Notamacropus eugenii: one gene and its partner. Each later gene encodes a partner of the first gene's protein in a complex. Links are inferred from orthologs where the notes say so. Each region holds a gene or a part of one and is shown in the gene's direction. Other genes may lie near its edges.

Region 1 (7,088 bases):
ATATATATTTTAGTGTCTAATAGTAGCCTTCTCTAAGACCAGGTAGGGAGGGAGGAAAAAAGAACAAAAGAAAACTTAGAAGCACAGAAAATTAGTGTAGCTTTGAAAAGGATATTTAGTATTTACTATAGAGGGTTTTTTTCAAAGTAAACTGTCAAATGGAAATTCATGGTTCTATACCTAATCCTCTTTATGTTGTACTGCATGTATCAATGGAAATGGTTTTTTTTTGTCTTTTTATGTTTAAGTTCAAAATAAATAAATATTAACAAATAAAAAAACTCATGTAATTATGCATTTGTCAAAGATATTTGTTATGCACAGCAACTTTTTCATTATTAAAATAGGCTTTTTATTTTTATTTTGCTTCAGATTTTCTAGGATTTTCTTCTTTATCCCAGGGACATTCCACAATGGCAAATCAGCAGCTACAGCTCTATCTATGTATTTCAAGCCCTAAAGAAGATGGTTAAATCTAAGAAACAATGGATTAAATCCAGGGTGATTAAATTTTTGTGTGTGTCATAAGTCCCCCTTGTAGTCCAGTGCGTAATGTTTTAAAATGCACAAAATAAAATACACAGGATTACAAAGGAAACCTTATATTGAAATATACACCAAAATATTTACAAATGTAAGTTCACGGATTTCAGGTTAAGGGCCTCTCAACTAGATGATTTTGAAATTACCATTAAATATATTTAATTTAAACAAATGTCACTGAAATTAAGGGGAAAGAAACATGAAATGATACAAGTCTATAGCACGGATGTGTCTAGACAAGGAAGATATAAACCCAAAGAGTAAAAGGTTCAGAAGATAAGACAGACTAAAGAACTGGTATAAAAAGGGAATAAAGGAAGTCTTGGATAGAGTTAAGAGCAATAGCTATAACAAAGAATAAATATCAGAGAATGCTCAGGATTGGGAGAAAAGAAAAAAGGGGGGAGTCCACAACAGCCTGAAAATGATATAATAGGTCTAGTGGGAAGAACAATGGATTTCAAGTGAGAACTCATTGAGGGCAGGGGCTGTTCCATTTTTTTGTGGTTCCGTTCCCAGAACCTAGCAGAGTGCTTTGCACTTAGAGAGTGCTTAATATAAATATGCTTGTTGAATTGTCCAGTTCAGTTGAGAGACCTAGTTTGGAATCATTAACAGTTATATTACTTGAGGTAAATTACTCAGTGTTTCTGGGCCTGTTTCCTTATCTGCAAAAGAGGATAGTAATATCTTCACTACTTAAGTTGGTTGGTTGTAAGGCAATTGTTTTGCAAACCTGAAATCAATGTGAAATATTATTATTTAATTATTAAGCTTTAAAAACCAACCAGCTGGAATTTAGCATTCCTTCTGACTCTAAAATTCTGGTATTCTGTGAACCCTATGCACTAGGTACTAAAGTTACTCTACTCTCATTTTACAGATGAGGAAACTGAGGCTTGGAGAAGTTAAATAAATTGTCCATGACCACCTTTCTATTAAGTGTCTGACATAGGTGCAAACTCTGCATTCCAAATTTAGAATTCTACGCACTAGACTATCCTTTTCCCTTCTGCAATTTAATTTGCACACTTAAGGTTTTTGTATATATTATAGAAAAATTTCTATATTAGAAACAATATTTAGAATGAAAAAATGTGTAACAGTTCTCTGATGCTATTGAGAACAGGTATGCCAGAGACAGGATCCTAAACAGAGTTCCCAAACCTAAGATATCACTGAAGAATTTTAAAATGAGGCAGGTAATCATTTATTTGCCAACCCACAGCAAGTTTCTCCACCCTCTTGCTATTATATAAAACAAGTAATCAAGCGAAACTATTGGCAAGGAACATATAATTTAGGATTTTTTTTTTACTCATTCTATAGCCTAGATAAATGGTAGCTTACAGGATTAAAATAGTTGTCTTATTATTTGTTTATTTAGAAACTGAATTCAGAACACCAAAGGTAGCAATTAACTAGGTCAAAAACAAGCTTTCTGTAGGATTGAGCTTTACATTTTAAAATAATGCTTTTGTTGCCACTGGTATTTTTTAAGATTACCCCTAAGAAAGGGATATTACCTGTCAGATCAAGAATACAGGAAGGGTTTACTATAGTTGGAAGAGGACATGGGGAAGGAACCTGGTTCCGGGCTTAAAGGGAATAGAGTAAGACCATTTCTTATAGAAGAGTTGCATATTTGCCTCAGTGAAAAGCATTTCCATCGAGGGAGTTGCCTGTGCCAACAAAATCACAGTTCTGCTCCAAAAACAAACAAAAAATACCCAGACCAAACTATTATTAAGAGAGTCATGGATAAATAGCTAGGATTTTTTTTTTGTTAGAATTCGTCTGCAACAATACTCTTTTTTCCCCTCTTAAATGTGCATGGGTAACTTTTGTTTTTACATCATCTACATCTCTCAATTTTAATGAAAAATAAAAAATGAAACTGTCAGCTGATATATCCGTAAAACAAACTGACACATCAACCAAGTCAGATACCCCTGGAAAGAAAAGAAGGCATATTCTCATAGCTCTTCTTTGAAGCCAAGGTGGGCCAGGGTTTCAGAGTATTCATTTTTTTTTCACTTGTTTTGTCCAATTACGATGTTGTAGTCAATGAATATATATATAATTTCTGGTTCTACTTCCTTTTCTTTGCATCAGTTCATATAAATCTTTGCATGTTTCTCTGAATGAGTTGTATAAATTTTTTTAAGTTCATGGATAGGAATCTACTTTGTTTCCAGTTTTTTGTTGTTACAAAAAGCGTTGCTAAACATACATTTTGAAGTATAGAGGACACCTTTGACCTCCTCTTAGTATTCGACTAGGAGTGAGATCTCTAGATTAAAGGATATGGAAACATTGTCACTTTTTTTTTTTTAAGCATCATTCTCAATTGCTTTCCAGAATAAACAATTCACGGTTCCCAACAGTGGCTAGTTTGTCCAGTTTGTCCATTTTTCCACAATCCCTCCAATATTGTCTCATAGTATTCTTTTTAAAAATAAAAGATATAGGAATTTAAAGTTGTGGTGGAGGTCTTAGCTATAATGAAAGGCCCTTCACAGAATTTTCTGGGTTTTTGTTTCCAATTCAGCTATCCCTTTGATTGCCTTAACTTTTCAGACTGAAAAATGGGGAAAATCTCCCTTATAAGAATAGAAAGTCATTTTAGAGGTATCTAACTGAAGTGGAAAGAACACTATGCTCCAAATCAGCATTCCTACATTCAGCTCCCATGTTTTTAAGTTAGGCAGGTCACAATAATGCTAGCATTTATACAGTCTTTTAAAGTTTGCAAAGTGCTTTACTTCCCTTATCTCAATGATCCTTACAACAACTCAGTGAGGTAGGTGCTCTTATTTTTTACAGAAAACTAAGGCTGGGATTAAGTGACTTGACAAGCTCAGGCTCTTAAAAAGAATTTGAGGCTAGGTTCAGTAGAAGGTCTTCTTCACTACAACACTTTATCTGTTGTGTCACTTAACCTCCAAGATACTGATACATTTTGTACTGGAGTTGCTTTGAGGAAATACTTTGTAACCCTTTTGAGATCTAAATAAACACGAGATGATGTTAGTGAATGAATATATGAGAAGAAAATGTTGCCAAGTTGCGCCCCTTCAAATACAGAAAGTGCTGCTGGAACACCACACCAGACTGGCAAAAACTCCAAAAAGAGCTAACTCACTTCGGAACACAGCCAGAAGGGTAAAAGGAAAAGCTGATGGAAAGGGAAAATAAGGAACTAGGGGCAGTCCTGTGACTTGAGGTAATGAGACCTCGCTTCGTAAGCGCTGGAATCCTATGTAAACGTTGGCTAGTAAGGTAAAGTTTGAAGTCGGGTTTGCCAAGATTAAGGGAGTCCATAGATTAGGCTGGGCAGTTTGCAGGGTTTATTTTCTCTCCTGGCTGTTACTTTAGTCCTTTAGACGGCCTCCTCTTCCTGCGGCTATTGCTTGGAAATGGGAATCCCCCAAGACATCGCTCCCGTACATGGCGGCGCAGACTTCAAACCCACTTCCACGGGAGAGCTCCTTCTCCAACCTCCCCGACTCAACGCCTGCGCAAAGAGACCTCTGCGCTTTCCTTCGCCGTCTCCCTAGTCCTTCTCCAGCCAATCGAGAGTGTCCTTGCAGTTTCCCTCCGCGCCTGGCGCCGGGACTCCTTTCCTAGCGAACCCTCCCGGGCGGGGGCGGCTACGTACGTTGTCATAGTGACCATTTCAAGTAAACCGGTTTGGGCCCTCCATCCGGGTCTCTGGGGCAGCTCTTCGGCTGGTTCTGGGAAGGTACCCCTCCCCCCCACGCCAACCCAGGGCTCGGTGGGGCAGCCGGATCCGGCCTCGGAGAGCGCGGACTGGGGCGTCTGGGCCCAGAGCTGCCTCTCCCTGGGGTTCGCAGGGTGGGAGGGCCATGGCGGCAGAAGAAGATGAGGAGGTGGAGTGGGTCGTAGAGAGCATCGCAGGCTTCCTCCGCGGCCCTGACTGGTCCATCCCCATCCTGGACTTTCTGGAACAGAAGTGTGAAGGTAAAGGCCGACGCCTTCCCCGCCACTCCCCGGGGCACCCAGACCCCAGAACAGTTCCCCTCCTTTATCCTCTTCTGGCTAAGGGAACGAGGTCGGGCCCACACGTCGGCTACATTTAGGGGTTGTTTTGAAGCTGGTATGACTCCCCCCGAAGCTCCCTCCAAACGTCCTCTCCACCTCCCTTCTCCTCACCCACTTCCACCCCCACCTTCCACACCCTACTGCCCCTCCCCAATTCCATCTCTGTCCCGCCTCCTCACCCCTCTCCACCCCGCCTCTAAACCAGCTCGCACCCGGCTCCCCACTCTCCCCAACTCCATTTTCATCGTCATCCTTTCCTTACCTTTATTCCTATCCGCACCCCACCACCTTCCTCTTCGCACTTCACCTCCACACTCCTCTCCTGGCCTCCTCCCCTCCCCCAAATCCATCCCCACCTCCAACATCCCCTCCTCACACATCTCCCACTCTCCAAGTCTCACTCCCCTAATTTTATCTTCTCCTCCATTCCTGCAGCCTAACTACCCTACTCTCCTACTCTCCATTCCTATCCCTCCATCCTCTATTTCCACTCCCACCTCCTCCCATATTCCCATGCTCATCCAGTGCTTTCCTGATTTCAAAGAAAAAAATGCACAACATAAACATGAAAAGCTTCCCTTCCCCCACTATAACCCTAAATCTCCAGGCTTCTGCCTCAAGAAAAAGTAAAAGCCATAATAAAGGGTACCGAAATGTTTTTAACTGGTTGAAAACTTTACCCCAACAACTAAGTGATGGATGGAGACGCTTTCCTATCCCTCTCTGTCCCCAGAGGGATTCACTGAGCTTAAAGCCGTTTTCTTGGAAGGGAGGATTTGGACTATGCCATGAAATACCTTTTTCTTAAGAAAGGAGCACCTAGGGATGCTCTTGCTCTAAAAGGAATTGAGCCAATCTGTCACCAAGTATTTATTTTTTTTAAATAAATTTAATACTTGTGGAAATGCATGTTGAAAACTAAAATACGTTTAAATCTTAAACAAATGTAATAAAAAGTCTTTTTTTACATCATCATAGTTCTATTATCATTCCCCCTTTCAGAGAACCATTCCATATAACAAATGATATTTTTTAAAAACAAGAAAAGAAAGAGGAAAAAAATTAGTATAACTGATCAGTACATCCCAAAAGTCAGAAAATTGACCCAGTGGGCAATTCTTGTGGATCTTCCATCTCTGCAAAGGAGATATCTCTTCTTTGTAGCTATGCTTCGACAAACCTTCATTAATTACTAATGTCAGTAAGTCAGTCAGATAACATTAAGTGCCTGCTGTGTGCCAGATACAGTGCTAACTTTGGGCATACAAAGAAAGGCAAAACAGTCCTGCTGTCCAGGAGCTTAGTCTAAAGGGATGGGCAAGGAGGAGACAACATACAAAGAGCTTTGTATAAACAGGATACATACAGGGTAAATTGGAGCTGATCTCAAAGGGAAGACACTAAAATTTCCTCACCTGTGAAATGAGATTAAGTTTGATATTAGGAAAGGCTTCTTGCAGAACTTTAGCTGAGATTTTAAAGAAACCAGGGAAGTTAGGAATTGGAGATGAAGAGGGAGAGAGTTCTAAACATGGGGGGCAGACAGTGAAAATGTTCAGTGGGAGATGGAGTGTCTTGTGAAGGTGGTGTCATGTGAGGAACAGCAAGGGGAAACTTGCTGGATTGATTGCAGATTATGGTAGATTGTGATATGTAAGAATGTGGTAGATTGTGAGATGTAAGAAGATTGGCAAGGTAGAATGGGGTCAGGTTATGGACATCTTTAAAAACCCAATTGAGGATTTTCTATTTGATTCTGGAGGCATAGAGAGTTGATTGCATAGAGAGGTGACATGATCAGACCTGCCTTTTAGTTAGATCAGTTTGACAGCTGAGTGGAGGATGACTGGAGTGGGGAGAGACTTGAGGCAAGGAGACCTACCAAAACCAGTTTTATTTCAGTAATCTAGGTGTAAGGTGATAAAGGTCTATGTAGCAGGGTGATTTCAGGGTCAGAAGAGAGAAGGGAGCATATAGGAGCTAGGATTGCAAGACGTGACCATTGATTCCACATGAGGGTGGAAGTATTGGTTTGAGAGAATAAGGAGTTGAAGATGACACCTAATTTAAAAGTCTAGATGATTAAGAGAATGGTGGTACTCTTTGACAGTGGCAGGGAAGTTAGCAAGAAGGGAAGGTTTGAGAGGCAGGGGAAAGAATGGGATCAGTTTTGGACATATTGAGTTTAAGATGTCTCCAAGACATCCTCTTCAAGGTGTCCTAAAAGCATTTGAAAATGTGAGACTGGAGGTCAGGAGAGAGGTTAGGATTAGGACAAATAAATTTTAACATCATCTGCATAGGGATGATAGTTGAATATTTAGGAGCTGATGAGAACACTAAGTGAAGAGTATAGAGGCGGAAGAGAAGACAGCCTTTGCGGATAACCCATTGTCATCTGTGTTGTGTCCTGGATGACGATGCAGAAATCAGGAGAAACATTTGAATATGAAAAACCCAACAGGTACATGGGGGATGCA
Region 2 (7,232 bases), about 470 Mb from region 1:
AGTGTGCTGGGGCTGGGGGTAGCGGTTAAGCAGTCACTGACAGGCTTGCAGTTCATTTTAAACTCTACAAAGGACAAGGGGCATAGCTATAGGCTCTGTACTTCCTTGAGGAAGTTCTGACACTGCTTACGCTGGGTTTGAAGAGCTTGCTGGAGATGAGACTGGCTCTCCTAGTACAACTCTGACTGTAGGAGAGATAGGGGAGACACTGCCTACAGTTAGCAGCCTGTTCTGATGGAAGGTAAATTATATTAAAAATGGGACTTTTCTACTTGTCTGCTATATTTAACTATTGGAAGGAAAGCAGTGCTGTTGACTCATTCATAAATAAATTAATTCATTTGTGGTTTAAAAAAAAGGGAGGGGTTTCTATGTATCTACTCTTCACCACCAACATGGAGGTGCATTACTCGAAGACTGTGACCCAGGTTTATTGGTGGACTATAATGCTGTGATTATCCTTGCATTTACCTCATACTGAATAACATGGATTTTATAATTATTCTTGCTTTTGCTTCATCATTAAATATGTTTTATATTCAAGAATCAGTAATGTAATACAGACTGATTCCCTATAAACAGGAAGCACAACAATGGGGGCTCAGGAACTACTGTGGTTAGTAGAAGGGCTACAGCAGCTCACAAAAGGTGATTCCTAGGACCTGGAGGGAGTTTTTGAGTCAGCTGTGGCACCTCACTCTCTGAGAATCTCAGACCTGTCTGCGTGAGGATTGGTTGGAATGAACAAGCCAGTCTAGGGAATTATAATGGGGCATTGCCAGGGCCAGGTTCTACATTTATGTACATAACGTAGACCCCTATTAGAACGTAAGCTCCTTGAAATCAGTTATTGTTTTATTCTTTGTAATTATATTCCTATTACATACCAAAATGCCAGGCCCATAAAAGGCACTTAATAATGTTTGTTGATTGACTGAGGGTGAAATCCTGATCCCAAGCAAGATCTCAGTTGGAGTGGTGGTCAGGAAAGACAGTTTGAGCCTTGCTGCTAACCCAAGGGAACGATATTTACACAGATGGTACTCAGTTATCTAGCTTGGATAAGGAAAAAATGAGACAAATGACTTACTAATTAACTCTTCCCACCTCACAGACCCAAAAGAATCATTCTTCCTCCCCTTAGAAATATACAATATTAGAACTGGAAGGAACCTTGGAGTTCAATGCCCTCATTTTACAGAGGTAGAAAGTGAAATCCACAGAAGGAACTGACTTGTCCAAGGTCAGACAGCCAAGTGATCTAGAACCCAGATCTCCAGGTCCCTAGTTCAGTGTTCTTTTCCACTATACTTCAATGCCATCTTCTTTAATGCAACATTTCTCCTTGAAAGAAAGTGCTGCTGTACGACTGCAAACAGTCCTGAGAGGTAGTAGCATTTCGCTATCAAGTTTTTGGAGATCCTTCTGTTGGACAGAAAAAATACAGATAATTTTCTCCTTTCCTAAGAACTTTACCCTCACAGCCTTACTCTCTAGGCAAGCAAGAAAGGAAGGCATATAATCCTTGGGTAGGAAGGAGGTACAAAGGGCTCTAATGGCTCACCATCAATCCCTTGCTGGGGGTCAATGACTAACTACTAGTCTGCACTTCTTTTTGAACAAAAAACATCTGGATGTTAGGGTTTGCCCAAACAACCTCAAAAATGGGAAATATGAAGCTATTAATTCATCCTCATGCTTACACCCACCAACTCTGGTAAACAAAATGTTAACATTTAGGGTGTTTTGAAACAGAAATTTCCATTATCTCTTTGGCACAAGAGTCAGTAGTCTGGAGACCACTAGGCAGCAGTTGAGGATTGTCTGGAATTTTGGCTGATAAACCACTTCAGCATATACTACAGGAGGATATGTCTTGTCTGCCAATTGAAGAGTCCTGTAAGGTAGAAACCAATGTTTGAAACCATTATGCACAGATAATAACACCTCTGCTGCTGTCAACCATCTGGCCAACCTCTACCAATAAGCCTCCTGATCCTACTTGACCCTAGATATCTAGTTTAACTGAGGAAGATGCTACTCTTTCCAAACATGAGCTCACAAAGGATAAATAGGTGCTAAGTGTTTTGTTTTCTGCAGTAACAGAAAGGGGGGAAGAGAGGCCATCCTTCTTTAGCCTGAGCAGAAAACTGCCCTAGAGGAGAGAGGATACAGCCTGGATGCCATGAAAACTACCCTGACCCTGGCTATGCTGCAACTGCAAGTAGGCCCCCAGGTTGAGCTGGGGGAGTGCATGTTGGAGAGAGCCTGAAACATGACTAGAAGCTGGGCCTGCCTTCCTGCCAGTTTGACTTGAGCTTCTCCTGATGCTTTAAGCCTGGTCTGAACCCTGAAATTAAGTGCCGACAATAAAATTTTCTTGCAATAATAAAAACCATTATGCACCATAAAGCACAGAAGTCTAGTTCTATAAATACACCCAAAATAAACGATTAATTAGTTATCCTGTGGGCAAAGTCCACTGACTCCAGCCAAATCTAAAAGCCTACTGCTATCAAAATCTGGCTCCTGCCTGCCGCCAAAATGAGAGCTAGGAGGGTGACCACTTTTGCCATTTTTTGTAGAAAAGAGGTATAGGTATGGAATACTACATATATTAGGTTTTTACAATACGTTGGGTAGTTTTGCTGAACTTTTTTTTAAAGCATTTTTATTATAAGGGATGATTTTCTAAACAGGGGAAAAGAATACACCAGAAAGCTAGTGATGTAAAAAGAAAATATATCACTAATTTTTTTTAAAGAGGGTGACCCAGAAGAAAATCCTACAAACTCTAAAGACACATAACTTCCTAAAATCTCCAAGCCCAAGCCATCTCTGCTCCTCCAAAGAGACAGCTGTGTGGTTACAGAAAAAAGATACTAATTTGGTGTCAGAAAACATGGGTTCAAATCCGAGCTTGTCCATTACTAGATCTGCTACATGGAACCTGCATCTCAGTCCCTGTTGCTCAGTTTCCTCATCTGAAAATGATACTTGTACTATCTAACTCAACAGGTAATATAAGCATCAAATAAAGTAATTTAAGCTCTTTATGAAGGAGACAGCTAGGGGCTCAGTGGATAGGTCTGGGCCTGGAGTCAGGAAGACCTGAGTTGAAATCCAGCCATAGACACTTACCAGCTATGTGATCCTAGGCAAGTCAACCTCTGTTTACCTTAATCCTATGGAGAAGAAAGTGGCAAATACTCCAGTATCTCTGCAAGAAAACCCCATGGACAGGTACGGCCAGTAGGGTCAGGAAGAATCTGACAACTCTGAACAACAGCCACAAAGCTCTTTGTGAACGTTAAGGTGCTATGCAGATGTCATCAGTTACATTAAAGCTTCAGACTACTTAGAAGGAGTATTTCTGAAGTGGCCACATTTTCACTACACGTCCAGGCCCCCTTTCCAAAGAGACAAGAAACAAGATCACGTTGTTCTGGCCCTCCAAGCTGCCCTGGAAGACCCCCACTTTATTCCTGGGATGAGTATTCTAAGGAGGCATCCTGGTCATCATTAGCAGAAGTGTGGCAGCATCTACTGGCTTCCAGGGTAGGTGCTTGGGGACTTGTGGGGACTCCAGAGCATCGTGGCTCCCAGGATCCACGCTCAGGGCACAGTTGCCAGACTTGCCCCCACTGAGACCTCCAAGACACCGCCTCCTGCGACCCAACCTCTAGGGAGATTCAGTTGAGTACAGGCCTCTGAGATGTGGGGGTGGGGCAGTGCATGCGCGGAGGAGGGGCCTCCTCCACCAGTGCCAAAGTGTTCGCACTGGGGGGGAACGGCTGCCTCTTTCTTTTCCTAGGGGCTGCTTGGAAGAGCAGTGCCAGTCTTCCCAACGTGGGGCCCCCCCTTTTCTTTTTTGCCACGTTGACCCTGTGGCAGCCGCAGCACATGGGAACTGAGCCGTTGGCACCACGCTGGGAGTCTGCGCGCCCTGAACCTATCTCCCCTCCTAAAAGCCAGGGGCCCTGGAGCCCGCGGGAAGAGTCAGGCTAGTCCGTGCCGCCCGTCCACCCTCGCCCCTAGGCCGCTCCCCAAAAGCCAAACCTGAAGCCAGGCCAGACGTCGACACAGACAGCGGAAAGCAAAGCGCGCTCACACAGACTGCCGCCCCTCCCAGGAGCGTTCCGCCCCTTCGGCTCCGCCCCCCGCGCCTCCGCTTCCGGACCAATCACAGGAGGGGGCCGTCCCTGGCTGGCCACGTGGGCAACTTTCCATCACCTACTTCCCCCCGCCCTCTCGGGCTTAAAGCAGAAAAAGGAGTACGCCTGCGCAGGAAAGGGCTTGGCCGGACGCTCGGGCTGGATTGCGTCTCTGTGCGCCTGCGCTCTCTTGGGAAGGGACTCGCGGGACCCCTTTCTCCTTCTCTCTCCTCGGTGTCTCCGCCCCAGCCCACTGTGCGTGTAGTGGCGGCGGGACGTCGGGGCGGTGCCCGCGCCGGGGACGGGCGGTGCCGCCGCAGTTGCCCCTGGTAACGGGGGAGGCAGCAGGAGGAGGAGGAGGAGGAGGAGGAGGAGGAGGAGGAGGAGGCGGAGGCAGAGGAGGGAGTCGGCGGGAGGATGGTGAGTGTGGGTGTCTGGGCCGCCCTCGAGCCCCCCCAACCCAGGTCCGCTCTCGGACCCTAGGGCTCAGGCAGGACTCGGGCGGGACGCCCTCAGACCCTTCCCGTCGTGCTGGGAGCGCCCGGGAGCGGCAAGGAGAGCCTGAAACGGGCCGGGTGGGAGGCCTGGGGCCTGAGGGAGGGCAAGGCTTGAAGATGGGGGCCCGGAAAGGGGCTCCGGGCGCGCTCCCCCAGCCGCCCGCGGCCGAGCTCCGCAGGGGTGAGGGCTGTGAAGAGCGATTCTCAGCCGCCCTCCCCTCCTCCTCCCCGGGACCCCGGGGGTTCTGCATGCCTCCATCCGGGAGTGGCGGGAACGCTCCCCCCGCCGGGCTCCGTGTCCACAGGTGCGGGCCCCGGGAAGTGGGGATGGCCCGCTGCGCTTGAGAGGCTTCCTCTGGGGAGAAGCTCTCCCGCTTTGTGATCTGGGGACCTGCCCATCCCAGCCTCCGGGATAACCAGGCCAGAGCCCCAGCTCTGCCTGGGGCCATCACGAATCTGCCCCAGCTGGTCTTAGCCCCATCGAGACTGCCCCCACACACACACACACACGCCTTATTTTTTGAGTTGATCCAACTTAATAGAAGAGCCTAGCCTTGGGGAGAATACCCCGGGCTTCCTTGGGCAAAGGAAAAGGGTAGGTGGACTGGTTATCAGCCTGTGGCACAGGTTCTCACTTATCAGCCCAAACGAGAACTTTTCCCGTATTTTGGACCTCGGATAGTTTGGCCTTTTCTGTTTGGACCCTCGGAATACTTCGTTTGGAGGTGCTTGAGATGTCATTTCGATCTTGTTCCTATCCCAAAAAGTATTCTTAGGCTTCCTGAGGATGCTGGTCAGTTAGTCACTTGAAAGGAAAAATAGTTAGGCTTTGTAGCCTTGAGTGATGCTGAAACTGGAGTTTGAGTTGCTCTCCACTGCTCATTTTTTTTAACCTTTAAAACTATTGGAACATTTCAGTGGTTGAAGGGCTTACAAAAAGCTGGAGCAAAATGAGAAAACTTATCCAGTGTTGGATAAGAGATCAATGACTATAGGAGGAAAAACCAATTGATTGCACATGATCATGATTGCTAAGTATAATAAGTAGAATTATTTTAGCTAATGCTGCCAACCAGATTTTGCACATTCTATGTAACAGTTTTGTTAACCTCAGGCTAAACAGATTTGTGTAAATATTTTTGGTGTTATCTTTTTATTAATCATTTGTTTATGAGCTATTCATTAGAAAGATTTGTCATTAAAGAACACAAATATTTACCCAAAAGTAACTAGAACTGAAGCTAAATAGGCATGTCAGACCAACAGAAGATGAAGATTGTCATCACAGATGATAAATGTATCATCATTGGCTAATATTTACCAGTTTATCCATCAAATGAACGAAATAATTTGGTTTTTTTTTTAAATTGAAGAATATAAATGACAGTAACCACTGGATCTACTTCCAGGTGTAAATTGACTTTCAAGGGTTTTGCTGAATTTTTTCTCATATGTCTGTATACATATATGTATGTATGAAATAATTAGCACAGACATTCCATAGTATATGTGTGGTTTAATTTTTTTGCTTATCTGTGAGAGGGTCTGTTATTGTTACAATAGAATTAAGATCCTTAAGATAGGGCCTGCTTTTTTTTTTGTCGTTGTATCTCAGGGATCTACCGTATTGGATGTCTGGTAAAGACTTAATTGAGCGAAATGGAAAATAAAATGTCAATTTTTTAAACATTTGTAATGTAACTTAATGTGTCAGTTTTCAGAATTCTGTGTTTGGGTTTTTTAGTCACTCGATGTTTTCTGAGATCATTATCTATATCAACTATAAGCTGTTCTTTTACATGTACTCCTATAATTTTACTAGTGTTGAATTTTTTTCTAATGTGGTAGACATATATAGTCTATAGATATAGACTATATGATACATATAGTATTTGCAGTGCTACTATTATAAAAGCAAATCTAATTTCACTTTAAGGCCAGTAAAAGTGGCAAAGCAAACTATAGATACAAGTTACCAACTTCTTGAAATAAAAAGTCCAGCAAACTCTAAAACCTTCAGCTAAGACTCATTATTGATACTTGTTTATTTTAAAAATTGGGCTACTGTAACAAAAAGCCTACTCATTCACTGATAGTTTATTCAAACATTTTAAGCTGTTTATAGTACACATGTATGAAATGACAAGATCACAAGTCATTTTAATCCTAACTTCACATTTTTAACCAGAATTCTTTTGTTCAATCACTTAGTAATTCAAAGCTCTGTAGAAAGTATTGTATTACTGTATTGGTTTTTGATATGTCAGTAGTTTTCAAATGTATTTTGCATTTGAGGATTATTCTAAACCAGAAATGTTTAAAATATAATTTGGAAATATTTAACAAAATAAATAAAAGTACATTAAAACATAGATTATATTTTGAAACCAAGCCAATATGCTTTGGTATCGATGTATAGATTAGTAGTCCCCATTTCCATTTGTGTTTGATGCCACTGTTTTATACTCTTTTTCTATAAAAAAAATTCACTGGATAAAGTACTACAGATCCATTCTTTATGAGGAAAAGTCCATTCCATTGACACTGGCAGAAAGGAACACTGACATCTTTGTCTCCAAGA

What was found. The genes of interacting proteins can lie anywhere in the genome.
Region 2: the proteins of CFAP36 (region 1) and ARL3 are in contact, whole or in part, in a crystal structure (PDB 4ZI3), measured with the Mus musculus proteins. The link is inferred for Notamacropus eugenii from reciprocal best matches to the Homo sapiens genes CFAP36 and ARL3. Residues at the interface, in NP_080016.1 of Mus musculus: Glu44, Glu45, Ser46, Lys47, Leu48, Thr51, Glu52, Lys58, Val61, Glu62, Leu65, Glu76, Phe79, Gln80, Cys83, Thr84, Ala88, Lys89, Leu97, Val100, Leu101, Ala103, Glu104, Asp105, Phe106, Thr107, Ile108; in NP_062692.1 of Mus musculus: Leu3, Leu4, Ile6, Leu7, Arg8, Lys9, Leu10, Lys11, Ser12, Arg19, Lys35, Glu40, Pro47, Thr48, Gln49, Gly50, Phe51, Asn52, Ile53, Lys54, Trp66, Ile74, Tyr77, Ser80, Tyr81.

What each region holds. Positions count from the first base shown.
Region 1 is NC_092872.1:650,732,712-650,739,799, reverse strand, and holds the start of CFAP36 (cilia- and flagella-associated protein 36), read left to right. Parts: upstream 1-4,080; 5' UTR 4,081-4,412; coding exon 4,413-4,527; intron 4,528-7,088. UniProt on the Homo sapiens protein: May act as an effector for ARL3.
Region 2 is NC_092872.1:180,917,648-180,924,879, reverse strand, and holds the start of ARL3 (ADP-ribosylation factor-like protein 3), read left to right. Parts: upstream 1-4,222; 5' UTR 4,223-4,571; coding exon 4,572-4,574; intron 4,575-7,232. UniProt on the Homo sapiens protein: Small GTP-binding protein which cycles between an inactive GDP-bound and an active GTP-bound form, and the rate of cycling is regulated by guanine nucleotide exchange factors (GEF) and GTPase-activating proteins (GAP).